Neodiprion lecontei: one gene and its partners. The protein of the gene in region 1 interacts with the protein of each later gene in a pairwise test. Links are inferred from orthologs where the notes say so. Each region holds a gene or a part of one and is shown on either strand. Other genes may lie near its edges. The genes, in order: mitogen-activated protein kinase 1, ARF GTPase-activating protein GIT2 and protein phosphatase 1 regulatory subunit 12A.

Evidence for each region.
Region 2: the proteins of mitogen-activated protein kinase 1 (region 1) and ARF GTPase-activating protein GIT2 interact in a two-hybrid assay, tested with the Caenorhabditis elegans proteins (3 studies listed by BioGRID). The link is inferred for Neodiprion lecontei from reciprocal best matches to the Caenorhabditis elegans genes mpk-1 and git-1.
Region 3: the proteins of mitogen-activated protein kinase 1 (region 1) and protein phosphatase 1 regulatory subunit 12A interact in a two-hybrid assay, tested with the Caenorhabditis elegans proteins (3 studies listed by BioGRID). The link is inferred for Neodiprion lecontei from reciprocal best matches to the Caenorhabditis elegans genes mpk-1 and mel-11.

The regions. Positions count from the first base shown.
Region 1 is NC_060262.1:23,226,095-23,235,679, forward strand, and holds the start of mitogen-activated protein kinase 1, read left to right. Parts: upstream 1-4,205; 5' UTR 4,206-4,234; coding exon 4,235-4,419; intron 4,420-4,909; exon of another isoform or gene 4,910-4,928; intron 4,929-8,340; coding exon 8,341-8,467; intron 8,468-8,975; coding exon 8,976-9,086; intron 9,087-9,578; coding exon 9,579-9,585. Other genes in the region: DNA-directed RNA polymerase II subunit RPB11, read right to left, coding at 1,710-1,745, 2,811-2,985, 3,204-3,293, 3,835-3,887. UniProt on the Caenorhabditis elegans protein: Functions in let-60 Ras signaling pathway; acts downstream of lin-45 raf kinase, but before the lin-1 gene product in controlling vulval cell differentiation. Plays a negative role in proximal germline proliferation in the mitotic zone.
Region 2 is NC_060264.1:4,182,375-4,194,939, forward strand, and holds ARF GTPase-activating protein GIT2, read left to right. Parts: upstream 1-3,519; 5' UTR 3,520-3,749; coding exon 3,750-3,807; intron 3,808-4,234; coding exon 4,235-4,368; intron 4,369-4,450; coding exon 4,451-4,563; intron 4,564-4,749; coding exon 4,750-4,936; intron 4,937-5,055; coding exon 5,056-5,186; intron 5,187-5,304; coding exon 5,305-5,491; intron 5,492-5,603; coding exon 5,604-5,676; intron 5,677-6,364; coding exon 6,365-6,562; intron 6,563-6,636; coding exon 6,637-6,803; intron 6,804-7,421; coding exon 7,422-7,592; intron 7,593-7,758; coding exon 7,759-7,950; intron 7,951-8,044; coding exon 8,045-8,278; intron 8,279-8,351; coding exon 8,352-8,552; 3' UTR 8,553-10,566; coding exon of another isoform or gene 10,567-10,632; 3' UTR 10,633-10,765; downstream 10,766-12,565. Other genes in the region: uncharacterized protein LOC107227510, read left to right, coding at 324-381, 509-618, 1,064-1,154, 1,386-3,187; dynein axonemal light chain 4-like, read left to right, coding at 10,567-10,632, 10,766-11,026; dynein axonemal light chain 4, read right to left, coding at 12,038-12,286.
Region 3 is NC_060261.1:7,034,919-7,044,812, reverse strand, and holds the start of protein phosphatase 1 regulatory subunit 12A, read left to right. Parts: upstream 1-4,219; 5' UTR 4,220-4,373; coding exon 4,374-4,622; intron 4,623-9,894.

The DNA of each region.
Region 1 (9,585 bases):
TCAGTATTAAACATATGTTCCCAAATTACAGAAGGAACAACTGTATATTTTCATCCTCAGAAAAGGTTTCTAACTCTTTTAACAGTAAACCAGGTTCATATTTATTATGCATCTATGTAGATAACATTATTTTTGTCGATCCGATGGAATTATATTGACAGTGCTGAATTTAGCCCCAATGAATTTGCGTAGTTGAAAAGCATACGTTGTCCATACAGGAGTTATATGAAAATTTGATTCTGTTGCCGTTCGTCATTCTGTAGCATTCTCTGAGTTCACGCGGTGAGCGATGGATGGTAACATCAATTCGTGTCGCCTCTATAATACTTACCGCTTGCTGGATTGAGTTGCGCGTATAGGGCAGGACGCAGAGATCGCCAGTTGACGATGAATATATCTCTTGCCATTTTCGATTACGAAAAGCGGCATCAAGCTAGCAGCCTATATGTATCTCTATGAACATCTACTTCATATCCAAGCTTGCACACACACACACACGTGTATCAACGAATATTATTTCTCTATATTATAAGGCTGGAATTTTAATAATCAGATATTGTCCACTCATATTTTAATACCTCAAAGTATTCATAACACGAATACCAATTGCTTACGTTGAATTACTATCTGCTTGCATTGCAAATCAAACTATCCTTACTAATATTCAGATATTCATACCTTTAAGCATTGTTAATTGCACTATTACTATTATGATATCTAATAACTCATTTCAAAATCGGGTAGACAACTTAAGAATTGTTGAACCAAGTAGAATATATTCAATGCAATACAATAACAAACTTTGCTAGGGGTAATTCAGATCGAGCTGTGCTTTACCACCATCAATACGATGCTATGCCGCTAAGTTCTCAGAAATGGTGCACAGCGCTGGTGACATTGCGAAGTCTTGAGGGATATATTCGATCATAGATGAAACGCTTATTAGTTAATATTGTTTTACCTTGAATAATTGAATCTTAAGAATCAATTCCTAAGGTAAAGCAGCCCCGTAGAACATTGCCTTAGATAACTGTACTTAATACACCCTGAATACGTGTTCAGTTTTGCACACCTGTGCCATCTTTTGTCACAAAATTTTTACATTATTCAATTGTTTAATCATAAAATTACCTAAATACAAAAATATTCCGATTACAGAAATGATATTAAACATACATGGGGCCACAAGCCAAAATACATTTAACATCAAACATCATAAACCTAGTGAGGCACGCTTTAGAAGCAAGTTAGCTGTTAGCTGGGATACGCAAAGCAGACCATATAAGGTAAAAACCAAGACACGAATTAGTTCAACCGTGGACTCAATGTAATAAATCTGTCAACCAAAATTGTACAGGAGCATAAGAGATGGTGTCCTATATACACGGATTTTAATCAAGCTCGGAGAGCCAGTTCAATATTAAATTCAATTAGTAAGGCCACTATACCCAAGCGTAGAATCAGTGTCAAATATAAAATCAATTAGTAAAAGTATAGCAAAAATTGTACTTTTTGGTGTAATGTCGAATAGATCTTAGTGCACATTTCATTTACAAAGTCGCAATATATATTAGCTTGAGATGAAACATTAACTCTTTTAGCAAAAATTGTTATCATTTATTATTCGCCTATCGAAATATAGTAACAAAACAAAATATACATATTACTTCTATAAAAAGAAGGGAATGAAGATAATTCTGTAGATTTATTTAGTCCAAGCCATCCTTCTTTTCCTTTATAGCTTCCTGAAACAATATTATTTATGTACTGTAATGTATGGAGAATATTCATTCGGTATAACATAGTTTGCTTTAGTATAATCTAAAAATACAAGTAGATTAAAATGACGAGTGGCAATTTGATATCATATTATACAAAGTGTTTTTAATAAATGGTTGAATGCAACTGACCCTCAACTTCAGTAAGCATTAATAATTTTCTCATGAAGCTTTCATTTTGTAAACCTGGTCTCGGGAAGGCTGGTCATTTTTTTTCAAATATGTTCAATATATGGTTCAGGCCTACCAATTGTGCTCTAATTAAATATTTGACCTTTGAACAGTTGCCTCTAACACAATTTGTAATTCAGATGTTTTTTGGGCAAGTGATTTTGAAATGGGATTATTTTATATAAGCCAGAATTTGATGACAGTAATGAAAGTCCCAAATTGCAGAAGACAAAAATATTAAAAGCGTGTGGCAAAGATACGAGGTGAATCGGCTTTAGGTGTTAGTGATTTCAATTTCAGACTGATTCAGACTATCTAATGCTAGCGGTTTTGCACCACCTAAAAACAAGGCACAAAAAAGTTCCAATCTACCGTAAACAGTGATTTGTTTATTAAACTCAATATTCATCAGATATTTTATTCAATTTTAGATATTTTGCGAATTATTGTGATTTGAATCCGAAAAAATTGAAAAATTCGACATAATGTTATTAAATTGAGAGAAGATATAAGATTTTTTTATTTTTCATTTTCGGCTAGATTTTTACGAAAAATTGACGGTGAATTAAAGTAAGAATTTTTTGACGTGTTATTTCAAGCGAGACCTCTAAATCTTATCCGATAGAGCTGAAACTTGCAGGGAATTAGTTTTTCACCAAAAACAACAGTTTTATGAGGAAGCAGAACTGAAAAAAAAAATTTATTTGCTTGAACTACTCTTGTATATAGCATAGGATTTACTCATCACTGAATATGTTTCATGTTTTGTTTTCTATCCACCCCATACTTTTGCGTTTGTCAACAAAGGGGATAGATATTTTCATTGTGACTAATCGTTATCCTTCAAAAAATTAAACCTACCTTGAAACGTTCTTCAAACAGTGACAGTTCTGCAATGAGGTCAGTTATGGCATGCATAAATGCTTCATGAGGCGTATAATCGGATGTTGTTTGAATACGGATCACAAATTTATGCTCCAACGGGTGCGGCAATTTGTATCCAGCAAACAAAACTTGAGGATCCTTTAACAATTGACTAAAATAAAAGCATAGACATTAATAAACTTATTTGTTATGACAAGGTCGCAAGTTTCAACTAAATTGAAAGAGACGGTAAGAACACTCCTTAATTATATCACTGTCAACTGTTCCCTATTTCAAAAAATCAATTGCTATCACTCAAAGTGATGTTGGCACAACATATTGTTGTCCTGACAAAGTGTAGTTTTTAAAACATAACTATGTGATAAATACTTTCGAATCATGTTTCCCAGGGTATGATCTTCCTTATTGACTGTGAATATTGCTGCATTGGGTACTTTTGAATCTTGTTCCTTGATGATTCTGCAAAAAGAATTCTAATTGTTAGAAGTAATCATTATCGCCCCAGAAAATTCACTCTCTTGGCTGAAAAGAATACTGAGGCTATTCGGAATATTCGGAGGGTTAGATATCAAGTGACAATAAGGTATACCTCTACCATCAAAACATCATGGCTATACCATCCTTCCGAGGGTATCAGCAATTTATGGCAATATTAACGGGTATATGGTTTGTGCTCTTCGAACATCATCGAGATATGAAAATTGCTCAAGTCTGTAGCGATGCAGTAAAAGAGACTGAATTTACTGTCAAAACTCATGTATGAATCAAACATAATTCTAATAAAGCTACTCTTTTTCCAAGTCTAATTCCAATGGTTAAAGCAAGATATTCCTCCGAATACAGCATTGGTGAACTGGGAGAAACCAATGGAATGCAAAATACACTATCTTAAAGTGCGGTAAAACATTTAGATCTTGACTTAGGACACTGACAGGTGAATAGTTTGTTTATATTAACCTAAAACCTGAGCTTGAGGAAAATGGTCTCAGAAAATGCTTACTTTTTCTCTCCATCATACAAGAGAAACGATTCGAAGGTCGGTGGCGCGTTCATGTTAATAGTTCAAATATTCTTTAATAACGAATATTATCCAGGTATCAAAGTGAGAAAATCATGCACCGCTAAATACACTTGGATAACTTCGGGGTTATTTTGCTCGAAGTGCCCGAAGTCACCTGGAAGTGTTGAAAAAGGAGCTCCCAGCGCTGAAACTGAAAATTCCCTAGGAGCGAGACAGAACTTGGCAATAATGCTATAGAGCAAGAGAGACAGAAAATAGCAATGATCTTTTATGTAGTTTAATATTCCCTGATTGGAGCGTTCCTATGCAAACGCTCATAACGACGCTGCATCTCACTCGAATGCCAAGTTTGTCCCACTTCTCTCTAGCCTGGGTATCTATGGCCTTGATCTATGGCTCGAGCATTGAAGAGCTCACGAGCCGCAAAGTAGTTGTCAAAATGGCGGGCGAAGGTTCGGCTTGCATAAATCCAAATGCAGAAATTATTCGGGGACAAGTGTTCGAAGTTGGTCCGCGATATACTAATTTGTCGTATATGGGAGAAGGAGCTTACGGAATGGTTGTGTAAGTTTCACAGGCAATATTTTCATGGCAAAAATGGCAATTTCATCATATGCATTGACCAGCATTGTGACAGGCGATAAGATAAACAATTCGAGCTCTTACTAGCCGAGACATGTTAACGATTCGATTATAATGATAACACGTCAGCTCATACGAGAATACTCGGCAATTTTTTCATTCTATGTACGTTTTACGAACCACACCTTTACGCCAGCTGCTGATTGCCTTTAATTGGCGCCACATTCAAATTCCTGTCACACCCCTTTCCTTCATTTCTGCAGGTTACGCCACGCTCAAGTTTAGTGAGACCTTGATTCGACTGCCTCGTACTTCTTTTTCCAAGTCTACATTTTTCAGATGTTTTGCGTAGTCAGTGATATATTGACTACGAATCCGCCTCTCCTTTATCAATTCACCTCTCCAAGAAATATACAACCTTTAAATATGTAAAAGTTGAAGAATCCAACTTGACACATGCAAAATTTCGGGGTCAATTGTCTAGCAAATAAGTATGAGAAACGTTTTGAAAATTCGAATTTTTAACACAGAGCGTTATGACACTTACCTTCGAAGTTTTGGATAATTTCTATGCATAAATATTTAGGAACTGCCCCTCAAAAACATGGTGATTATAATACAATTGACGATGATTCTAAACACAATGAACACACATCGAGTTGCTGGAAATTTTGGAAAGATATTTGACATTAAACATTAAACTAGAGGTTATGTTACTTGGTCATGATGTACAATAACAGTGCAGAAGCTGCGTCATTCTAGGCAGTCAAGCAGTAATCATACAGATTTTTGTATGTGATTAATGAAATTAATAAGTTAAGGTTCTCAAAGTATTATACTGTTTTGTTTTTATGATTTTCTAAATTTCAGACAACCCTAACATTGTGAAATAACAATTTTCAAAAATACATTGTTACATTAAGAGGGTGGTACATCGTGGTACAGCTTGAACGGTCTAAAATCATACCTATTTTTAGGAGTTTCTGTTTAAAGAAAATGAAAACAGAGCAACTTGAGTTTCAGGACGTTATTATTTGTAGTTTCAAGAACATGGTTGAATTTTTTCATTGAAATTAATAGCAAAATGGTAGCATGGCGCCTATAAGTAGCGAGCGACCACGTTTTCAATACGGTGGTGCAGATTCCTCGGTCAATTTTTATCTGAATGACTGGAAATTTTGACACAATCTGTAAATTTTGTTTATCGATTCGAGTTTGTGACTAGATTTTTGAATTTCAATACCAAATCTTAATATAAAAATTTTTGTTCATAACCGTATATATATGAAAAAAATATCAAGCTTGACTGATCAAAACTTCAGATACAGTTTTTGCAGTGGCTGAAATCGTTATTGCATTATTCGTAAAATTCAGTAAATGTATCATGAAATTTTCTTAAAAGTGGAAAACTCGTGAAAAACATGAAGGATTTTTACACATGTTAACAGAGAGCGATTCTTAATACGTCACTTGTTCGTATGCAAAGAACGATTTTGTTAGTTGTCAGGCATGTAACGTGCTTAAAGTTACTAACGTCCAAAATCTTCTTTCACTCTAAAATTATAAAATAGTGGTTTTTCCAAATTTTTTACTTTAATGTTACTAATTTAAACAACTAGTCATATATCGTAGTGAGCAGTTTTACCAGTTTCCATTGGAGAGAGAAAGTTTTTAATCAGACTCCATCTGGTGTAGAAAACAGATTGAAAACGTTTCTTTTTAGTTTCATTTTGCATTTATATATGTATCGTTCATTGAAATCCTGACATTTCATCTGCAAAGTGGAGGAAAATATTAACGTAATGTAATTTTAGAAAATGTCGTTATTTTCAACTTAAGAATTATCCAAAAATAGACTATACTTCTATATTGCAAATTCAACTCCGTTACAGTTATTTTGAAGTTTTGTAATTGTAATTTTTTGTTCAATGTTCATTGTGTTATCTTTAATAATTTCAATGTTGGAAAATCCCCAGTTTTTCCTGTCACATGTGTCTCAAGAACATATTTTGAATTATTTTGTGTGCGAAATTCAGTATTTCAAGAGACGTATCCACTTCGAATTATTTATTACGTAATTACTAAGAAATAATGTTAGAAGATAAGGTGACCATAAAACCACACGACTAATAGCAACCAGTTTTCCTTTAAAGACTGTGGATTGTACATTCATTGTGCGTGCAATGATTTGAAATGACAAGGCTGAAGCTAGTAGTGAGAGTTAGCAGCCAAATGTGCTAATGTTAATTCGAATAAGGTAGTGGTGAAGTCCGAAAATCAAAATTTTGTGAAATACCCTGAACCCCCAGTACTTTTATAGAATTATGAGCATAAAATTGAACTGTATTTTTCTAATTCCAAAACTACTCACTAAGGTTTGGCTGCTAGCTTCAGCTTCATTTTGAAATGTTCTAGATAAAAGAAGTTTCATCCATTTACATTTGAAACATGAAATTCACTACTACCCTTATCGTGCGGTACTACAATGTATTGTCATGCAGGGTTTTCATTATACCTGCAAACCAGAAAAGTCTGGAATCTTCGGAGATTTTTGTTTTCCTAAAAAAAACCAAGATATAGCCAAAGAATCCTGACGATTTATGGAAAAACTGAAATTTCAAAATCAAACTTTTATATTATTCCAAACGTTACGGTTGTAGTGTAACGCTTGGCATAGTTGTGTAAGCGAGAACTGATGAAAAATTGAAATCCGAGTTCAGTACAGAAATGGAACCCAAATGAAATATAATTTAAAATGATTGATTAAATTTCTTCGTTCATTGCATTAATCGTAAACTACACAATCGGTATCTAGATAATTACAATTTTAAACGTGTGAAAGTCAGGGAGTTTTATAATCGAAAATTAGTTCTATTACTGTATCATTTATCAGATTATATCTGTACGAAATTTAAATAATAGATTATAATTTTAAAAAAAAGCTGAGCCTGTTAGGTCGTTAACTGTAGTTTCTTTAATTATACTTTGGAGAATTTACTAAAGGGTGTTTCTTTTTAATTGCCTCAGGTCAATTACCCCAAAACTAAGCAACAAATCAAAAATCGTTTCATAGAAAATATTCAAGGTTTGAAGGGGTAAGAAAAGAAAGGTATCAGATTTTTTGCAATTGAAACCATCAAGGTCAGATGAAGGTCAACTTAGTTATTTTTAGATGGGATAGTATATCTTTTTTATTGGCCTCTGATTGGGCATCAAATTTTGCATAAAAAATGACTTACGTAGTTGTTGCCTAAACTCGACCGGTGATAAGATACCAGCCGGTCGAATTGGAGCAAGGTACCTTGTCAGTTCTATGGAAATACTTGAGGCCTCAAGTATTCTAATACTAAAAGTTGCCTGAATTATTTTCTGTGTTGAGCCCATGAGATTAGACAAAGAGTAGTATGTTTGTTGGCATGGTAGTTTATTTATTTGTTGTCAAAGAGTTGGGTGGGTTGAGATAAAGAAACTGCAAGACTATTACCATGTAATATATGGACAATCCTTGATGATCTATGTTACATTTCCAGTGTACAGACTTTCAATGATATCAACTACCCAGATATGGTGTATTAAATGAATAGAAACGATTATATGAGGATTTTTTGTGTCATTTCACTTAAGTAGTCAATGCCGATTTCACAAAGTGTCTAGCTGTCAGGGACATCTGGAAAACCGGAAACTATTAGGAAATTTGCATACGTCTGGAAAAACCAGGGAATTTCAGGGAATTTGATATGTCATTGACACTAGGCACCCTGTTTCAATTTGAACAGCAGAAACATCATATGTTTACCAAACAATGAGATGAATGTTGAATGGCGTGATGCATATATCGATAATTATTATAATTATAAAAAAAAATATTGGTATTAATTTGTTTTTATAATTTATTTTTTGCAGATCTGCGTACGACAATGTAACAAAAACTAAAGTAGCTATCAAGAAAATATCTCCCTTCGAGCATCAAACTTACAGCCAGAGGACTTTGAGGGAAATAAAAATTCTCACCAGGTTCAAGCATGAGAATGTAAGAAATTTTTATATAGACCTAATATTTATTGTGTGAGAGCAAAATGATAACCAATTCCTTACAGACTTTGAATATCACTCTGTTTTTTGCAACAAGTTTGACAAGAAGTATAGTATCACTTATTTTACTCAAAGTGCAGCATAATTCTGTATAAAAATTGAGACAACATGCGGTTTGTATCACCCATATGAAATCCTTAATTACTCTCAAGAAGTTAAACAAGTATGCGATTTCATATTACTCAATGAATCATAGAATTTTGACAAAACACATACTTGAAAAAAAAGAAACTGAAAGTAAAAATAAAATTAATGAAAACTCAATATCCTTGATACATTTTGAAGTCTGAAATAGAATACTTGCAATACTTACCTTAATCTGTATTTGCTTGCAACGAGCAGTAATTGTAATGCAGGTTTCAAATATTATACCAAAAAATATTATTCTGAATTCATATCTGTCTCATAGGTATATGTCAGACTAATTGATAATAATTCCTTTTCAGATTATAGATATACGGGATATACTAAGAGCACCAAGTATGGAACAAATGAAAGATGTATACATTGTACAATGTTTGATGGAAACTGACCTGTACAAGCTACTCAAGACTCAGGTAAATTTATTTTACAATTCACTACGAGCTTTATCTGCACTTAGTACAGATTTTCAAGTATCTTGGATTTATTAGACATTTTGGATAAATTAGAAAAATGCAAAAAGTTATCACACTTTCATTATTTGAGCGTTTTCTTTTCATCATATATTTCTTCTATCAGTCTTAAATTTTCATTGAAGAATTAAGCACATGAGTATTTATGTGCCTGAAATTACGAACATTTATTTTAACAAATATTTAAGCAACTTTTCCACATAACTTTATTTCAAATTTTCTATTACAAATTAAATTACAAATTCATTCACCGCTTTTCACTAATTTTGGAGCGTACTATCATAAGCAGCTGAAAAGTTTCGTGAAACGACTTGCTTGATATACGGTCTTGATTATAATAAATGTTCAGAACTTCAAGCCAGCACATGAGTGTTTGTAACTTCTTTTACTAATTGTAATCACTATAACTGATTGAATTTTTATTTATGTTCGCAGCCTATTA
Region 2 (12,565 bases), on another chromosome or scaffold:
ATATCTGATTGCGTTGTGCGCAAATGGCGTGCGCAGCTTTGCATTTTAGTTCCTAACCAATAGGAATGCCAATAAAATAGGTAATTCGCATGCAGCGTGCACTTGGTGGCGTTGGTTCCCTGCTTCACCGGCATTCCTATTGGCCAAGAACTTGGCACCGTAACAACTCAGCCTATGGTTATATTCCCTTCCCATTCTACGGGCATCGGATTAGGTTAGGTTAGGTGAGGTTTGAATTCTGAACGGTTGCAGCTGGTGTAAATTACATATATATTGTATAAATGAGCAGATCAGTAGGAATGGTTTAATCAACGAGAAGAACAATGTCAGTACAAAATATGACAATGAATCTATCGAACAATGCTCGATGTTACACATCAAGTGAGTATAACGTATTCAATACTAGAATATATTTTTTAAACGTAAAATAATCGAACTAGTTCACCGACGTTAATCTGTTTTGTTTCCTCTCATTGAGCGTCGGAAATAATTATGGAACCTTTTTCAGAATCCAGCGGCAAAAAATATCCAATATTTAGTATCCGTGACCTTGTGCCAGGTCACACTGGACCGGAAACATCTGAAGCTGCTATGGCTCAAATAGCCAAACCTCGATCGGTGGGTTTAAAATTCAGGAAATTTTAAATGTTAACAGAATCCATTTTTATAAAGTCAATTTTGCTGAAATATCCAGAGTAAGAGTTAATAATATACAATTTTTTACTTTCAAAGCTGACTATCAAATAGATGCGTAGGTTATAGATTTTCCATGTTTGTTTTTGTTCTTATTTTCTGTCACGTTCAAGTATGTTTTCAATTTCATGTTATGGTGTAGATAATGACGAGAAATAATTGAATAGATGGTGTTTATAGTTCGAATTCTATATTTGGACTGTCTGCTATATACATTCCAGAGTCCCATCGACCTTTGACTTGCGGCTCACTTACACTTTGCGAATGCTCTAGACACACTCTTATACATGTACACTACAAATGTAATATTAACAGAATTGACTGTCGAGAGTTAATAGTTACAACTGTATATTTTGTTATTAATACACAGGAGAGAAAATGCCAACCAGTGAGAATATCTATGGCTTATTTCAATGATCCATCGGACCGCAGAAATACTGGATCAAGTCGCAAAACTCCTGGTCAGTATTGCTCGATAGAACGTTTCATATCTAGCTGGTACAGATAAATAAATATTCAATGCAGAGAAGTTTGTTCAGTTTTTAAAATTTCTTTTCAACTTGCATACATGGATTCTTGGAGGTCTCATTTTTTTCCTTTTCCTTTTATAAAAATTGTAGCTTACCTTACATTCTTGTACCGTACCAAATGACTAAGACTGGTAATGGTAACAAGTTTCCTTACTTCTGCAGGTCGACCATTGCCGCAACCAATTCGTAATATTCATAAGCTGTTTGAATCACCCAAAAACAATGCCAGAAAGAGACTCGATAGTTTATACGATTCTTCGAAACGAAATGAAAATTTAAATCATTTAAAAAGAAAAAGTCGACTTCTGATTGGTAACAAAATTGTGCCAAGGTTACCTGATAGCATCGCAGCACGTGAAGCAGAGCCCACTCGAAAACCGAGCACAGTTAATCCTAACGGAAATTTGAGATGCAGCAGACTATTACCACCGGGATCCATAACGAGTTCTTTTATTAATAAGCGAAATTCAACGGCAGTAAGATCTTCGATTTATAAACCTGTAAACCATGTCCTTGTTGATCAGAAAAATGTGCAAAGTGGAAGACCTTCGAATGTTCCAGAAGAGTCGTCGTTAATTTCTGAGACACATGATGAAAACTTGTCCATCAAACCAAGTACTACATCATTAATAAATTTTTCTGCTAATCAAATTGAAGATGCAAAAAAGGATTCAATTCACTCAGTTTCGACGCCCAGTTCTCCCAAGCAAAATCAGAAATCTACTAAGTGCTGCAACTGTTCACAGCTCGTAGTCGATTCTAATACAGTTGTGAACATTTCTACTTTAACAGATAAAAATATTAAAGATTCACAAAACACCCTACGTATCGTTCAGCCAGATTCAGATGTTGAAAAAGCTGCATGTCATCGGCCTACAGTAATTGTCATGCAAAAGGAAGTAGCTTCTCAAGCCCAAACAAATTTTGATGTCGGCGTGGAACTAGAAGATAGTGTATTTGTACAGGATGGATCATATTCAGAAGTTTTAAGCCTACAACCACCTGCGAATTCTGTTAAATCTGAGGAATCGACGACTTTCCAACGTATAAAAAATGCTACTGAAGAAAATCGTGATGCTGAACTGACTGAGTTTACGTCTCATTTGATAGATATGAAGAATGAGGTGCTCGTTTTCAAACAAAAACAATTAATAGATGAAATATCCCACCATGAGAAATATTTAGCAAACCTTAAATTGGAGTTGAAAAATGTGAATATAGACTTGGATAATCAAAAAATCCGAGCGTCCAATTTGAAGTTGGAAGGTTGGAGAAGTTTGAGTAATGAAGATATGGCTTTTTTGGTATATCAATACAATGGGAATACTAACGAGCGTTTTGATAGGCGTTTGAATGCCCAAGAATTGTCTGTGTCTGATAATAATGGAAATCGTTTAAAAAACACCCAGGAATATCATCAACAAACTGCTGAGACTGCTGAGCTGAGAAAATCGTCAAGTAACGAAAAGCTCCAGTCAGATAAAGACAAAAATGATGATTTATCAAAACACGAATCTACCAACTTGGCTGTGAATATCGATAAAACAGAAAATATTGAAAACGAACCACCTACCAGGAGACGATCCGTTAGGTTAGCGATGAAAAATGCTAATCAGTCCTTGCCTGTCAGCCACAGTACACCTGTGATAAAAAACGGGAAATTTGCAGCTTCCCAATCTAACAATCAGTCCAAGCCACCCTGTACGCCAAACATAACTACCACTCCTGGGCAAAGCAATGCTTGGAAGAAAAAGAACGCCCGATCATTGCGGGAATACATGGTTCTAAAATCAGCTAATAAATTTTTAAATACACCAGACGTCCAGCGCTATCGAATGGGATCGGATGAAAAGGTCAAGATTCAGGATACAAGTAGTATGGTAAACGATGGATTACTTTTAACAGATAAATTATTATCCGAACTTCATGACTTGCATGCTACACCTCAAAAATTTTACCCATAAGTACGTGTAGTAATGCATAAACTGTATTTGTATAATTAATAACTGTACAATTTAATGTTATTTTTTGTAAATTATAATTGCAACGTATTTATTGTAATCGTCTTTCTACCCATTGATCTTAATTTGGAGGAATAAACGAATTTTTAAAATATCTGTACAGATCTATAAATTGTCGTGTATGTATATGCAGAAATAGTACCACAAACTTCCTTCGGTAGTATTCCAACAATTGAGTTGATAAAACGTACATCTTTCGAACGAAGTCGATTGCGCAACAATAGATTCGACTGGTCGAAGATACGACGGTTTAGATATATCGACACAACGCATATGAGGATGTTTGCATGTGTATGGTGGTAAATAATTAATGAAAAGTGTAATGGCGTCTTTGAGCAGTGTTTTTATTTGTCATCAACAATTACTTAGACGTTAATTGTTGCTATTTAGGTATGTAGAAAAAGTCATGCTTCCGATTGAAGGATGGATTTTTGACGTCTCGCGTATTCAGCGTTAACTTCAGAGGTGTTACCCGGGAGGCTAAAGGGTGGACATAGATAAAATAATGGCGCGACCAAAGCATCGAGGAAGTGTGGATACTTGTGCCGACTGTGGAGCTCCTGGTAACTGCATCATTTTTATTTATATCTCAATCATCTTACCCAATTAGTTACTTATTTACTTAGGCGTTATGTCATCTCACCGCTTGATACGCGCATTTTTTCTGTCTCTCTCGCATTCATTTATTTCTAAAAATTTCACTTTCATTTTTATCCTAAACAACAAACAACAAGTATTTATCTCACCTCGTTTCATGAGGTTAGAAATACTCTCCGGTCGCTGATGAAAACTTGTCAAATGATTTTTATTTCCTGACATTACTCTCTTACATTTTGTACTGTCAATATTTACCGATTTATTGACACTTACCGATGTGTGCGTAAATCCGATATAGTTTTTTCTTTACTTCAATATTATTGCCATACTTTCAATTTTTCAAAAAATTATACGTTTACTTTGATGTTCTTTTTTGTTTTGTTATACAACTAGAACCGGGATGGGCATCTTTGAACAGGGCTATCCTATTGTGCGACGAATGCTGCAGTATTCATCGCAGTCTAGGACGCCATGTATCGCATATCAAGTCTCTTCATAAGGGAATTTGGAGCACATACTTGCTTTCGGTCAGTGATAACGAGCGTTACAGTACCAGTTTTTGTTTGATCTTTTTAAGCATTGTACGTATGATAATGTTCATTTCAACAGATGGTACGTACCCTGAATAACAATGGTGCTAATAGCATTTGGGAACATTCCTTGTTGGATCCAAGCAACTCCAAGATTAGCAGACGAAAACCTCAACCCAAAGATCTGTTACAGTAAGTTGAGGTGGTTTAAACATTATTGACATCGTTATAATATGATTCACTTTATAAATAGAATGACGCAACTCTCTGTCAAGCATCTTATTATTTCTATAAAACCTGAATAATTTTTATTCTTTGTCAAGACAATACCGAGATTTCAAATCCTTTGCCTATTTACATATATTCAAATTTACGCAGCCCAGTGAAAGCGGATTTCATCAAGGCAAAACATCAGCAACTGGCATTTATCCTGCGACCTAGTAAAGAGGAAATTTGTAGCGAGGAAGAACTTAGTAGACAGCTTCACAGCAGCGTTCGTACTGCTAATCTAGAAACTTCCCTTCGCTTATTGGCTCAGGGTGCTAATCCAAACTACTTTTATCAAGTACGACATATTTACATTGCATAGAGAGTAGGAACTTTGATGAACCATTACCTTTAAATCGACTCGGTCACTGTTAATGAATTAAAAAAAAGATACTGATCAGATAATGCAATTCTTAGGAGAAAGGAACCACGCCATTACATGTCGCTGCTAAGGCAGGACAGGCGTTACAGTTGGAACTCCTCATAGCTAATGGCGGCAACCCAAGTACAATGGATTCTAATGGCCAAACAGCTGCTGAACATGCCAAGTATGTCTGCTTGTTTTTTTTTCCACTTTCATAACGAAACGACAACTATCTCACTCACCGTTCATATCATAAGTGATAAAAAGTTAGCTGCTGAATTATATTCTATATTATTATTCAGGATGGCTGGACACCTGGATCTAGCCGAACGAATCATTGAAAGTATGTACGAAGTTACAGACAGATTAACTTATCATGTATGCGCTCGTAAACCGGATCACCGACTAGGACAACACCTTATTATACCTCAATGGGGTACAACGGAGAGAAATGAAATGACTATTCAAGCTAGAAATAAGTTACAAATGGTAAGCAACTCCATCAAATTTATTCATCAATTAGGAATTTTGTGAAATGCATTATAACAATGTCACTTTAATGGTAATACAAAATTTGATGCTTCTAATTTGTGCGTTTCAGTTACCAAACCATTTGTTGGAAGAGCTTGCCATGGACGTTTACGATGAGGTAGATCGTCGGGAGACAGAAGCTAGTGAGTAAAATTATGTTTGAACTAGTTTTAAATAGTGTATCGCTAAGTTTTCATCATAGTCAATAATTTCAAACACGTTATCCACGATTCAAGACTATGTTTCTATAAGCTATAACAATAGCAATAGGCCAAAATGATTTATTGATTATATTGCGATCATAGCTGTACCTTTTGCCATAAAAAATAGAGCATATTTTTTACTATGCTGTTTACCTAAAACGCAAAACAGCTATTCTCATTCATTTACTCATTATTAATGCGCATGAATTTTTTATTTTGCCAATCATAAGGAGAGGTGAGTTAAATACGATTTGAATTTTATCTATGAAATTTAGTTTAGGTATTAGTTTTTTTAATTATACTGGTAGTTGGGGTGGCAACTTGCATCAGATCAAGTCATTATAGATGCTTATGGAATACTGTGTTTACTTGCAATTAGTATGTTCTATAATTTAGCAGATACTAGACGTGTAAGTATATTCTTGTTATAATCACCATACTACAAAACTTTGCTACTGTAGCAACTTAAATTTCAATTTTTCAGACTTTGCATCAGTAGGTTTACAGTATATTCCTTACATGCACATAAAATTAGCTCCATACACAGTTTTCCATTAAGATGAACCCAAATTTTTATGGTTTGCATCACTTATTTACATTTTTTATCTATCTTTAATCTTCATCGTAGTTTGGATGTCCAACGCATCTTTGCCAGAGAGATGCACAGTCCCTTTCTTGCCGGTAAACCCGCAGTTATCGTCGACAAGGAATCAGGGTAGACAAAAGCTTGCGCGGTTCACTGTTCAAGAGTTTGCAATTTTAATCATCGATCTTCTTACCGAGGCCAAGCAGAGACATATGCTTACTAACAGTACTCCTCCACAAGGTTTGTAAAAGCTTGAAAAATTCCCGTAATCGTATAATCGGTGATGTAAAATTTTATCTTGATTTTTAATACAGATCCTGCAGTTTCATTGCTTCGCAAAGAGCAGACCTTTGGCAATCATGCATCACAAGTATCAGACGATGAGCCTTTATATGACAGCGTGGCTTCCGATGACGACTATGCTGCTCTTACAGTGGTCAATGCTTCTGCCCAGACGTCTGTTCCCAATTTGGATGACGAGGTATTTAAACATAATATAAGACATGATTGCAATCGTTAAGCACACTTATACATTCCACATGTACACAGTTCGCAGTGAAAGAATTGATTCGAAATTAGTTGATTATTATTATATTTACATTCCCGATTACCTGTAACTCATTTCGATTGATGAACCTGTAGTCTTCTTACTTCGATAAAGTGTTATTTTCGAAGCAGTCGTTGTACTTACTTCGGAATTACTCAAGTTCTGATAAATTTCATCAATTATCTCTATGTGAAACACAAAAAAAAAAAAACTTATTAAAGGTGGCTGAAGTAGTAGGAAAACAACGAATACGGAATCGACTGAGCACGTGGCTCTTCTGCAGGCAGTGTTACTAGGCAAGTGCCACAGATCTGTGTTCGTGCATGCACAGCTGTTGCGAAAATTTTCTGATCATTTAATCCTAATCCACATTCTAATCAGATACGTAAATGAGTACATGCTGAGTTTAATAAATCTTAGCTCGTCGCCTGCAAGGATTCATGTTGCCCTAACACAGTTTCTAATCGTAATACACTTGTCAAACTTAATCAGTGTGGTTGTAAAATTTCCTTCATACGTATATGATTATGGAAACGCAATGTTCTTATTTAGAAAGCTCTCGCTCCAATGGCCAAGGGCTTACCGTCTGTGGTCGAAGTTCTGAAGAAGCAACTAACCCTCTCCGATTCAACAATTCGTGACCTACGCAATGAAATACGTTCTCTTCAGTCCACCGTCGAAAGATTATCGCAAGAAAACTGTGAGCTACGAAATATGATTCAGGTGAATTACAAAAGTCGGTTGAAATCGATCACAAGATTCGAAAGTAGAAGGCTTACCAAATTTGTTTATCATGATTAAATATTATTAATCAATCTCATCATACATGCACGACGTTCAATAAACTGTGTTCGCATTTTGAAAGTGGATAATATATTTCTTGCTACAGGCACCTCTCAAATCGAGACTTCAAGAAGATGCTGTGGTTAATGGACACGTGGTTGGTGAGCGAGAACTGGGATCAGAACCAATCCTAGATGTAAAAACCCTGACACCTCGAGGTAGTCAAAGACCGGCATCAATGTACGAAACCAGAGAAGGTCTTCGCAAGTCTTCCCCGTGGTCTACGGCTAATAATCAAGTATGCATGAGAGGATTTTCATTAGTAGATTATGGGAATCGGAACTTTGTCACAACGATGTAATTTTCACCACAAAACTTGTTGATGAATCTAGGCAAAACGGGAGGTTGAAGCATTACCGCGGCCAAATACAACCCAAAGTCTGTGGGACTGTGGTACTGTGAGTCTTCCCCCTAGCGAGGAAGTAACTAGAAGAACAGAACAAGTCACAAGACGTATTCAAGAGTTGTGGATGGCTATGCAGGAACCCAGTTGCAGAGAAGCTTTCGTACCTTGCGCTGAAAAAATTCGCGTAGCAGTTGCTGAGTTGACCGCAATATTTCCACCGGCTAGTATTTGGTCTTTATCTGATTTTAATCATGGTTGTGTCTGATACTATAATTTCAACACTTTTTCTGTAGAATCCAATGGAGGATAACGTAAGATCGGCATTACGTCAATTAAATGGTAATACAGGTAGACTTCAAGCGGAATGCGCAGGACTACAAAGGTGCACAAGTGATACAGACCACATGGATCGGTGTCTTCAACAAGTACGCTCGTGCGCTTACGACATAGCTAAAGCCACAAAACTTCTGGTCACTCAATTTCAGGTATGTTGATACTGAATTAGGTTAATTTCTATAAAACTTATCAAAGGTAAATCAAGATAGGAAGTTGTGCAATTCTCGAAAATTTGTTGTAGCGAACGTTTGTTTATAGCTGCATTAGGTAAATCACTACTGATAATAATATCCATATGCTCATGAAATTTGTAATATACGTATACAGCTTATCGGTTTGTGAATAACTTTTGTTCTCAACGCTTGAATGGTTAATCATACTTACATTTCACAAATCAAATTAACAAAGTATACGATTTCTGTATCATATATCATGCGAGTAACGTAACGTCATCTTTTTCATAGTTTAAAAGTCTATTCGATGTAGGTCATTTCTATTTTAATCATTAATATCAATTATAAAGACTGAATCTATTTAGAGCCTGGAATTCGGTTTACCGATTAGTGTAAATTTTGAAAGAAAAAGATATTGCCAAATCGTATTTAGTTCAAATCCAAAACTTATGCGCAACCTTAAAATTCAAGTAAAATCTTTTCAAACTTAATATGTACGTAATAATAACATGGTATATTAAGAAAAGACTGCAATAATAAGCATATAAAATAGTTCACAAGTTTAAATAGTTATGTTACATCTAGCAAGCTAGATAACTAACAAATTCTTAAGACAAATATATAGTTCAATACAGTTACGTATCAATTTCTTCCATCTAAGCTATATTCTTTCCACTTTTATCTGTGTTATTTTCATCGATCTTTTATATTCAACTCATAATTCGATAGTCGTTGCAATTTCTTCATCTTTACATATACCTGCGTTTTTATTTTGAAGTACACGAGTTTTGACATTTTTTTCGAATCATTGAATGCAACTTGTTTCCAATGTGAATTATCTTCATTCTTTGAATAGAAATATTTCTTCAATCAATTTTTCATCAAGGCATCGTTAATTTTTTTTACGCGACCTTTTACGTCATTTAAATTATTTAATGAGCGATAAGAAAAAAGAGGAATGTGCCTGGATATACAAAGATATTTATTGCATTTATTCATGCTTTTAACAATTGTATTTAATGTGCAGCTGAAGAATCCATTTAAAAAATATTTAGTGTACCGTTAAACAGAATCCTGATGCATTGCTTCAGATTCAAATTTTTATATAGAATATATTAAAGATAAAAAGTGTTCCGTATTAAATACAATTAAGGAAATATTTTTATTATTAAAATATACATAATCATATACATCTATATATATATACATATATATAAATAACGTTTTTCAGTATCAATAAAAGAATGCTATTGGTGCTTTATATTACACAATGTTTAGTTAATTGATGTGGCTTCAGAGGATGCGAACTGACGTAGGCTTAGTAATATTATGCATCCCCTTTGCCATTGGAATTTTACTGGTTGTCTAATGAAATAATTATTGAACGTGTTGAAATTTATTGTTTAGAATATTTGCGATTTTTAGAAGTAATTTTTCATTTAATATTAAATTTATTTAATAATGAAGAAAATACAATATACAACATCTGTATAGCTAATTTTATAATATTATTATTGTACTACATCGACAAGAGTAATATTAAGTATTTATCCTCATTGAAATTTTGAATGAGTTGACAAATTACATATAAATACATACTATATACATATATTTACTGATTAACAAAATTATTACATGAGAGTTTTCATTCAACGTTCGTTAATCCTCTACATTTAAGCTTACCTCTCAAAGCTAATATATTTAATACAACTTCTATCAAAATTGTACATCCACACGTCAATCAGCTTCGTTTACGCTGCTGAAAAGTAATGACAGTAGACATGAACCAAAAGATGGAAAAAGATACTAGAATGTTGTTGCCGTTGGTTCGTAATAAAAGAAAAACAATTGTCAGATTTCATATTTTGTTTGAAACGATTTATTCATTTTTTATGCGAAACTTTATTCTGCGACTTACTGACGCAATGAGTGTATAATCTCTTATTTTAAATACTGATACACGATACAAATATAGTTTTAATTTCTAAAAACTACAAAAATGTCGGCAGGAGAAGTGATGAAAGAGCTTCTGCAACCTATCATACATACGTACCCGTTATGCAAGGTACGTTTTAGGATAACATGAAAGAGAGAAACACGTGCTCATTCCCTGATGTCAAAATAGATGATAGTTTTCACGACATGAAATTCTAAAATATTTTCTTTTCACTTTCAATTTAACTTCTAATTTTCTACAGACAACCGATATGCCAGAAGAAATGAAACAGGAGGCGTTAGAGTTGTGCACAACGGCGGCAGAAAAATATGCTGATAATTATGAACATGCTGCTAAAATGATCAAAGAAAGTCTTGATAAAAAATTTAGTCCTCCGTTTCAAGTTGTAGTTGGCGAGGCTTACGGTTTTTCTGTAACTCATCAAGAAAAAACTTTACTCTACATGTACACAGGTGGCAATCTTGCTGCTCTGATTTGGAGGACGGTCACTGGCTTTTCCTAACTTGTTTAAAATCTATTATTGGGTTTATTTTTTTATCTTTACTCATACGAATAAGCGCGTTAATAATACAAACGGAGATCTGGAAAATTTTATTTACATCTATACAAAAACAAAATCGTACCAGCTTGATTATTTAGAACGCATTTATATTGTTGTGTCGCAGCGTTAAAAACTTGTTATACAAATAAGTTTATCGGTTTTGAAGGTATTGATAGAATTAATTCAACTAAAAATCGAGTTTGAATCAAATACAGTGTCTCAAATTTGTTGAATATATTTTCAATCAGGCCACAAATATTGTTACATCTCATGTATGTATTTATAATGAGACAATTTCCGGTATTATACATAAATATTATTGCAATCTTATTATAATCATAAATTATGAAACTGGTGTTCTGACCATTCGTATCTCCTATTTGAAATTTCAGTGGACGCAAATCAAAGGCGGTACTAGATTTGGGATATTAACTAATATTACACAAGTGTAGTCTTTTTCATTTAACTGTATTTTTATAATTCTCAATAATTGACTAGATCTGATGTTTCTCGAACTTTATCATATTCCTCACATGTGTATTTACATACTCACAGAAATTTAAATCAAAGATTCAGAATCAAATTCCATAGAGTCTGTTTGTACTTATACTATTATTAATCAGTCATTCGAACATCGATTTATCGTCAATTTTTATAGTAAAGATTATCGATCGTAAAAATTTTCCAAACCACGATATTGCAACATATAAAGTACCTATATGAAAACCAATTAAGATCGGTATTAATCTGTTGAAAAAATAGGAACGAGAATATTTATAATCTATAGTGAAACCATTTACACGAATGACAACGTCAATACATCTTTAAATATATTGCCAATACTCATCTCACAGAGTTAGCACATTTAGAAACATTTTTTATCAATTGCTTGTGATTAGGATAGTGAAGTAGCTTTTTTGTCTAGCTGATAGCATTAGTATACCGTTATCAAAATAGACTTTAATGTTATGGCTACGCGGATTTCCATATACAAATAGCTAAATTTCCTGCGCAATACATGTACAGAAGGTGTTTTAGCTGATAGGTAATCTCGAATCCGTATCCTTCACCCACTACCGTGTGCCAGGATGCTCCAAATTTTTTGTCCATCGTTTCCTTAATCATTTTCGAAGCACTCTCGTAATTATCCGCGTACTTCTCGGCTGCCGTTACGCATAACTCCATCGCTTCCTGTTTCATCTCGTCGCTCATGTCACATTTCTGTTGGAACAAACAATAAACAACAAAAATAAAAATACAAGAATGCCCCATTAACTTCAATTTCCACTGAAAATGTTTATTTATTGAACGACTGTGAAAATTAAATTTGAATTCAATATTATACACTTGATTCTAAGTTCATTTGTTAATCTTAATTTCTAATTACACAAAAAGATGCAAAGATATTGCATCAAAATTAGAGAAGAAATCAATTGCTCGAATACATGATTCGAATTTGTTTATTTTTATTTTCGAGAAAAATTTAATGTACATTATAAT
Region 3 (9,894 bases), on another chromosome or scaffold:
GTGATTTTGAAGTGGCTAAATTTCGAAAATATCAATAACTTTTGCCTTGTTATAATTTATTGTATTTTAGAGATTCCTAAAATTACGAAATAACGGAATTCCCGAAATACGAATCATTATAATAAAGTTACTAACTTCAGTCTCATACTTTTTCCCCGATTCAAAACTGATCAGATTTTCAGCTGAAAAATTTTTGACGAGTTCTTTAGTAAAATAAAAAATCTATTCTCCGAAAATGGGTTGTACAATTGAGACGTAATTTGGTATGTTAGTCTGGCCCCATTTATCTTAGAACAACCGCGATTTCGAGTAAAATCAGCCCTCTCTGTGTTATTGGTAAAAATAAATTCGCCCGCGATTTTCATTTGAAAATAACGAGACCAGCGGAAAGTTCCACGAATTATTTTCTTAGGTCTGCATGGAACTAGTAGATAAAATGACCTTAAAAAATAATAATTATCACATAACTCACGACATTCTTTGAATTCGCACTAAATTCTTCACAAGATTTTTGTTTCTTTCTACTATGCATTCGATCGATGGTTTGACAAATAATTTGTGAACAATGTGATTTCTCAGAATTACGAATGTATAAACAGAATGTCGCAATGAATAAAAAGACTCGAATATTATCATAGTTCTTGGACTCTACCACCATGTAAAGGATCAGGTGCACATGTTGCAAGGGAGATTGTTTTATAACGGGTTAAACTTTAGTTGATCTGTATATATCGTCTTGCATTGCAGCAAATATTGGGAATAATACTTCTTTGTTCATTCACTTGTGTTCGTTTGTGATACATGTATAAAACCAATGTGGGCCTTTGTTGTAAATTAACGTACGATAAACCATTCTTGTACTTCCTATTAATATAGTTTTATTTACAGTTTTTTATAGAGGGTACTATTCATAAGAATTATAAAAGTCATGTGGATCATGTGTCTTGCAATAGTAGTATAGTTGAAACAATCGTTCGATTTATTCAATGTACTTGAAGTTTGATCAATACAATAACGAGCCATGATTTCAAAATTTTGTTCTCTCAAAAATAGGATCTTGATAGTTTTCTGAGCAGTAGATATTTTACATGGTGTTGTAAATACGATGTACTCCTACACAGTTAATTTCGTTAAGAAAAAGATTTTGAGCTATCAGACGATGGCCTACAAATACAAAATTTGTTATCTAGATCTTGTTTAGCATTGTGATTATTAAAAGAATAATTATATACAAAATAGTGATGTTAAAAAGATTCTATCTTTGATTATTAGTACAAGGAAATGTTTTTTCTACTGTTGGAAAGCAATGAGGCAAACACAGATTTTCTGAAATTGCTGATAATGAAGTTAAGAGTATTTTATCAATAAACAAACATTTATTTCTACAAATCTACTTTCATTGGTCATCATTTGTGTCTTTCGAACTTGTCCGATAACATTTATTCACGTTTGAACTTTGTTAACTATAAACATTGTGATCTTCCCTACACTTTACCAACCGACGTTGGTAACAATGAAAAACCAAATGCAAACAGACTCCAATTCCAGTGATATGAAAATAACGAGTGTTGTAAAACTGAGCAAATTTTTTCACGGTTCACAGCAAAAGTCAGCACCTGTGAATCTGTACTTTGAATTATTTTCATTTTGAATTTTTAGGTGAGTAATAAATGAACTGTATTTGAATTTCTTACTCATCTACCTGTATAATTTATCATTTACTTTTAGTCACTTTGTATCTCTATCAAAGTAGATGGTATTTGCGTTGTTGCCATTATGAAGGTAAGTAAATAAACCTTATCAATCCGAACGTTATCTCTCTGTGAAAGTAAGCTACGTAACCGGATTATCACTGCTAGCAACTATCTTTTTTGTCTTGAAAAATAAACGAACAATTATACAAAATAATATGACCTGTCAATGTTTACATAAACTTACAAGCCTGTCGGAGAAAATATGACACTACGCGAATCTAGTGTTATTGGTAAATATGCATTTAAGTAATTAGTGTACACTGGTACCTGCATGCGTTCTTTGCGAATTACACAACAAAGTACAAGACACGTGATGATTCATCATCCATTAAAATTATTTCGTACTGATTGCAGCAGAGATAATACCTGCAGTCATTTATCGCACCATGTATCAGCCAATTGACAAGGTTCACGCAATCGGGGTAAGTAAAGAGTGAAAAAACGTAAGAATACCCGAAATAGCCAACTGGAACTGTCAATTACCACATAAATGTTGAAAAGAACAGCCCCCGTCGCCCACTGAGGACCAACCACCGTGATAACGGTATTTATCGTGGCGAAAATCTCCGTGTGTAAAAACATGCGGAATATTATAGGTGAATGAAATTCCTGTCAGATTAAAAATCATGTATATGACGACGCGATATTTGACGTGACAGAGCTTTCTAAACAGTTTTTTCTCCACAAAATCCAAACGTTCACCGAGGCGACGAACGAGATGAAGACTGAGGCATGCAAGGAGCAGGGCAGAGGAATAAGAGTATATGTATCAGGTGTGTATGAATGTGTGTGTATACATACGTTTGATTAAAGCCTTTGGACTAGATCCAAGTAGCTTCAGAGCGCTATGTGAAAGGCTTCGGACCAATCAAACTCGTGGTTTGAGAAGAAAGCAGGCTGATAGTAGTCTGCTAGTTAGCTCGGAATCTGAATTGAGCAAGCCTTATGCGCTCGGATGTATCCAACGAACTACACGCGATACGTGTAAGAATGCAAACGTCGTGGGGGAACAAACGTCGGTCAAAAGCAGAGAAAAATAAAAGGAGAGTTTAAAAAAAATTATAGTAATGGACAATGTAATCGTAAATGTAAACTCACATTCCATTAAAGGGAAACGATAGTATCCGGTGTTGTAAAGTACTTAACAGGTTTCTATTTACGAACACACTACAACTCACTCCGGATCACTAATCACATAATTTCAATGACACTGTGCCGCCCGATCCACCACCCGTCTACCATTAGGTTTCTACTCGACTGAAGAGAGCAGAGACGTCCAGTGAGACGTCTACCAAAACGTCCAGCTGAAACTGAGCTCTTTAGGTGAGCTGAAGTTGGTTACTGGTGGTGTGCTGGGTTGAGTTCCCTAACCCTACACCAGAGGTGCGTAATTCAACTCGCTATCTCTCTCGCACGCACTGTATTCCATCAGTTATGTTTACACCCACGGTTTAGACCAGTGGTTCACAAAGAACGTATTTCGTAATGCTGGCATGGTCATTGGTCAACTGACATACCGACGTCAATTTCTTATTCTTTTCTATCTGGCGCCTTAAATAAACCCCGTAGTTACGGTAATGCAGGGTATGGACACTTGGTACTCCCCTCACTCGTTATTCGTAAGATCGGGACCAAAGCGATATCGCAACAATGGGGCAAAAGTATAGAGCATAACATTTTTTTCCGTGCCATTCTTGATTTGACAGAGGTCGTCACCACAAATACTGTATTACCAGCTACTTCCGTGATAATATAAAACTAGTTTTAAAACACTCGCTCGCTAAAGCTTGTTCGGGGTCGGACGCCTAGTGTAACTAGTTTTTGTGCTCGTGCGCTCGCTTACTCTTTGTCAGTGTTTTACCAGATGACATAGTTGTCGGGGAGACTGGGGCACGATGACTCCCCAAAAACTTCCGGTTTTTGCTTCACAAGCCGTGTTCGAAAATTGACTGACAGTATTGTCAGCAATCTTTCATCTCTTTTGCGCTTCCAAGTTCGTGGATAGCTCTGACTCTGTCTTAGGGAATTTTCGGTACTGTCAGTCAATTTTCGAACACGGCCTTTATGAACAGCGCTGCTGCTGCGTCAATTACTAGACAAATGTTAGTAATATCTAGTAAGTTACTAAACTGCTGCTGCTTTTTGCTGCCCATGAAATCCCAGCTTTACCGAAAGCACTTGGGGACTCGAGGAGTGTGTTCGAAAATTGACTGACAGTACTGTCAGTACTGAAAATATTATAGTCCAAGTGACCTATACTGTAGATTTTCAGTACTGACAGTACTTTCAGTCAATTTCCGAACACGCCCAATATGTGTGTAAAACCGCCGTACGGTAGGCAACTCAACTGACAGAAAAGAGTAACGAATGTTAAGCTAGACAAGTCTGCCGTGGATAGTTTGTGTTTTGACCACGAATTTGAGGTAGCGCGTGGGTTGTGCGGCCGAGTCATTCCGAGTCGGCCGAGCGATTCCGAGCAGTTCCAAGAATAGCCTAGCACGAGTTTAGAGGTGCCTCGGCGTCGGGCGACCGCTCCCTCCATCTACAGTGGACAGAAATCGTATGGGGGCTGGTAGCGAGCAAGTGAAGTGAGTGTGAGTCGAGAGTGTGGATCAAATAATGTCTCTAGAGACTCGATCAAGTTCGGCTCTTTTCAAGAGGGCCGAACAGTTAAAGCGTTGGGAAACGTCGGAAACAAATCGCGAACCACCCCACCCAAGGCAGATTGATCGTAAGATTAAATTCTCCGCGGACTGTGTGTATTTAGCAGCATGTGCAGCGGGCGACAAGGAGGAGGTGATTCGTTTGTTGCAGAAGGGGGCCGACATCAACACCGGGAACGTAGATGGATTGACAGCCCTCCACCAGGTAATCCGAACCCTGCTCGCCTCCCTTCTTTTCGCCTCCCGTCGCCGTTTCGCGATTTCGGTTCCTGCGGCACAGGAGAATCGTCTATTTAAACCCGGTCAGTCGGGATACTGACGGGTTGGTATATCGTCCCGAGAAAGACGTATGTGTGTCTAAGATGGCCGCGGTTTACTCCAGCTGTCTCCTTAATCGCAAACAACGGCGTTCCGCTTACGTGGATTTCCCTCAATGGAGCCAGATTTCATTCCTCCCTCGACCATCGTTCGTATAACTCAACGATTACCTCGTCCGCTCCGATACTGAGCCTGTTAAATTTAGGAATTCCTTCGAGTGGTCGCCACTGGCACGGTTCGCACACTGAATCCCCCTCCCCCCACCCACCCGCAATCCCTCACTTGCTGTTCACATGTGTGTCTCTCGGTTTGCTCCTGACGTGCGTCAAGTCGGCCGCTCCTCCGTCTCCTCCTCGTCTCTTTACATGCGCTTCTTCATTCCTATTCAATTTTTCGTTTCTGCCAGCTGCACACCTGTGAGGTGTATCGATTGTGCGTTCTGTCACCTGGCCAGTTCCATCGCTTATCGCTTGAAATCGGTGTTACACCTTCTCGTAGCTGACTGTCAACTCTCGTATTGCTAAACATGGCGTACCAAGCTTCTGAGACGATGACCCTTTTCCAGGGCTGCAAAAGCACCGAGTAACCTTATCTAAGTTGTCGACGATAGTTTTAGGCACCTGTTCTTGTCCCAATTCTTTGTTTACTTTGAAAACAGCACACGTCACATTGACTTTTTGACAATATCGCTGACAACAAGTTGAAAAACATTAAAATTCAAAACAACAACGATACAGTGTTTTTAGAAAAGATAATTATCATCTTATCGCTTAAGACGTAGTTCCTATAAGTAAGATAACCGAAATTCTCAACACAGCTGGTAAGCTGAGACGTAATGTGGCAATGAACGAAATTCATTCTTCGAAATTCTAAATGGAAATCATCAGAAGTTACTGATTCTTAATATCAAGTAATTTTCTCTTTGGAAGTCAGGGAAAATATCTGGATTCATTGGTAAGCGTTCATCAGACTTCCAGTATATGGGACACTAGTAATCTGCTATAATTGAATTTCTTCCGTTTTAGATTTTCAGAAAAAAACTCAAATGCATCCGGTGTTTCATCAGTTACTGTAATTTACTTCTATGCTGGGTGCTAGTATGCAACAACGTAGTTTCTTTCGTTAATAATTAGAATTTGAAATTAAATTTTCTTCAGTGTTATCCCATTTTACCCACCGAACGGTAAGCTGAATGCATTACATCGGCTTGTGCCAGTTGGCTATGGGCATGTCAAATCACTCGAATAGTAAGGAACAGAGTAGTTTATACTGTATACGTGGCTTAATGCAATATCTGATGGTATCCAGTAATTAAATTTCTACCGCAGAATATGTTCAATGTTTCTCTTCGACATTTGGTTTTATGAATTTTCTCTTATACGAAAGAAATTTTATCCCTGAAAGAACGGAAATGTAAATAAATATCAACGAACGCATGGCCAAGGATAAATTCTTCCTAATTTGATTTTCATGTTTTTCGTTATCCAGAACAGTTGAAGTGAAATTTTCTTTTTACCTTACTAATATTACACTAAACGTAAAAACTGAGAGATAAAAGACTCATGAACTTGAGCCAGGAATGAACTCGCTGACGTATGCAAAATTGGCCATTCATCATTTATCTTTATAGTTTGGATAATGTATTAGTCGACCTATTCATCGAGTCATTTGCGAGTCGACCTGAAAATAATATATGCCAACTACCGTATCTCGTAATAATGGTAACGAAACATTTGCTGGCGTGATAGAAATATTGATTGATATTCATGCATATAGATAAATTTGAGTTGGAGCAACTTATGTCCATGATATATACATGCACGATATCGTACAGACTAAGAACAGCGAATTAGTTATTCCGTCAAACTTTGTAATGGCCAGTTGAAGAACATGCCAAATAACATAATATATTAATGATATATTGTAATTCAAAGTAAAAACATGCTTGTTTCTCTAACACAATACACTATCCATTGGAGAAGATACATTACCGAAAGTGCAAACTCCTTGTAATTGTACCAGGTCTCAACCAATACCCTTGTGGGAAGTACCTGGTAAATCGAATTGATTGTGAGATGTTAAACCGAATGATATTGAAAAGAGGTTTGTTCTGCAAACATATATCTACGTCGCAATTCCCTCCAGTGGTACTCAGACAAATTTTACAATTATTTGAGCATCCAGAATCGAATAAAAGGTGACTGCGCTTATGAAAGAAAAACGTACACGGAGCTGTAAAATCCAAGATATTGCACAGCGAAACAATGATATGAGAATACACTTGTCCCAACCTTGCTAAATTTCTGCTTCCTCAAGGTTAATTATTTTGAAAATTTATTTTCCTGGTTCTAATGGGCATATCAATTCACTTTCTATTGTGTCAGTTAATGGAGCTAAATATCGTCTCAGAGGAGTTAGAAATTAGGGCTCGGTATTTGGTTTCATCAATGCAGAAAACTCAGTAATGTACGCGTACACATTTTTCAAAGTTCATAAATTTCGGGGTCTTTAACTATTATCGGAGTGCCATAGTGACTGACTATTCCGTGTATTAAAGAAACTGATGCAACGCTTTTTCCTATCATTTTCATACAATATCTTGTTCTACTCTCCTGCTATTTAATCATTGTTGCATGCGTTTGCTCGTTATTTTCTCATCAGATTATCGTTAAAATATATGTACGTGAAATTTTCTACGTAATTTTATTTAATCGCTGCCGACCCGCTTTTCTTCATATTAACTGAATTATCAAAACTTTAAAATCCGTAACAAGGCAATATTAGAATCACACCATTTAACTATACTGCGTTTCTTCTTGATAAGAGAATTGCTCGTTTAGCTATCGATTATTCACGAGGCTGAAGTTAGTAACGTTAATGTAACGAGACATTGGGGGGAAAAATTACCATTTTGCAAGTTTATGGGGACTTAGAAGTATTTAAGTTTTCAAAATATGAATACATTTTGCCTTACTATGATTTACTAAATTTCAGACATTTCTGCTACTGTGAAATAACGATTATACAAAACCTTTATCATTACAATAACGTTACTAATTTCAGCCTCATGATTATTCGTTTTTCTTTTTCTTTCATGTAGTTTCTGAAAATTCTCTCAATTAGAGAAGACAAAATCTGATTGGCTTTACTGAAAATTTTTCGGGTTCCGCTTTTTCGGATAAAGATATAATATTTAGCTAATAAAACTGAGCTTTTCACTGTTGTTGAAAGCAATCTTCCAAATTGTATTCTTATAGTTTCACGATTTCACCATTAAACGGTACATTATTATTTACAATAATATCCTAGTGTAATGTTCGGTCCATAACTTTCACACTGTATAAGTTCCTATCCTTAATGTTTTATCGCAAATTGAACCATTTAAATATCTATATTCGTCATTCACTTTCTATGGATTGTATTCTAATGCTAGGAGTCGCGTTAGTCTAATTAGGTAATTATATTGAAGTTAGTAAGGTTATAGTAACGATTCATACTGAGGAAAAACCGTTATTTGGCGATTTTTGAATTGCCTGAAATTCAGTAATTCTTAATAACACAAAACACTCTTATATTTTGAGATTTTAGTTCCCTCAAAATCATTTTAAAATGAAGAAAATAGTGATTTTTCCCTCACTGTTTCGTTACTATAACGTTACTCACTTCAATCTCGTAATTCAAATGTTTTATGATACGTTACCCTTGTCTAATAAAATTGCACCAATAATCTTGAAAATTACGGTGATTCCTCCATTTTGTCGCGTTATTAACAAGGAATAAACCAAAGTATCGTCCAACGTCCATGTCCATCAATGTGAAAACACTTGAATTCGACGAGACTGAAGTTAGCAACGTTGACGTATCGAAACGTTGAAACAAAAATCACTATTTGCACCTTTAGATTAGCTGAAGAATTTATCAGGCTGAAGTTTGTAACGTTATTCTAATGATGAATCTTTACAAAAATTCATTATTTTGTTACTTGAGTTATTCGTAAGGTGCAAAACCGTAATTTTCGTTTCAACATTTCGATACGGTAACGTTACTTAACTTCAGCCTCGTAAGAATTTGAATTTACAAAATCAGAGTTTGTTCGTACTGTATTGACAGTTTGCTAAATTTCAAGTAATCCTAAATTTGCAAAATAACGACTTTTCCCAAAATCCATCATTACAATAACGTTACAAACTTCAGCCTGATAAAATTCGTGATATTTCCTTTGCTATCCAACGAAGTGCGCAACGGTATCCGTAACTTTCTTTCGCTCTTCATTTATCGCTGGTATAGTCATCGTTCTTTTGTTACTGTGTTCAAGAGCTATCTTGACCTGCATTTCAATGTTCTTATCACCCCAAAGATTTTTGCGGATCAACTTCTTGTTGGCAATGACAGAGAAAGAACAGGAAGAAATAATTTACGAATCCGCTGTTTTGGCACGGTCCAAATCGCAGCCTCACTCACTCATCCATTGTTCGCGGTCATTATTATTCATCATCAACAAACCCCTTTCATATTTTTTCTTTTTATCTTCGACTGGCAAGTAATACTCAAACTTGAATTGCAATATGCAAACTATTTCAACGCGCTGCCAATTGGCGCAGCAACGAATATGAACCGTTTACGCTTTCCGTTCAGCGATACGGATACACGTTCAAGCACGAGTATAACTGACAGTAAAGTGTTGGTAGTGACGACCGGCAACCGGCGTAACGTTACACTAAGATTAGACAGAGAGTTTGGCCCTCTTGCGAAACATGTATTATAAAGTACACCGGAATTCGTTCCGAAAACTGCGAACAACTGACTTCAACTAATCGATATTCGCTGGATACTCATTGTTTTCCCTTTATAAAAATTCCCTTAGAAATCGTTTATTTTCACAACATTCTTTCAAAATTAACACTTTCGTGCATACATTTTTCCTTATATGCGATTCACTTGAAATTTTGCATGCATCATGGCCTTTTGGGCTCGCAGATTACGAATCTGAACTCGAAATTCGAAAATTCAAAATGGCGGATCTAATATGGCGGACAAACAAAAACAACAAGAAGAAAGATGTTTTTTGGTGTATATTAAGTATGTGTAAAAATTGGCGTTTGGATTTTTTGTGCTAAATTAGCAGAAAATTCTTTTTTTCCCGGAAAAGTACGAATTTC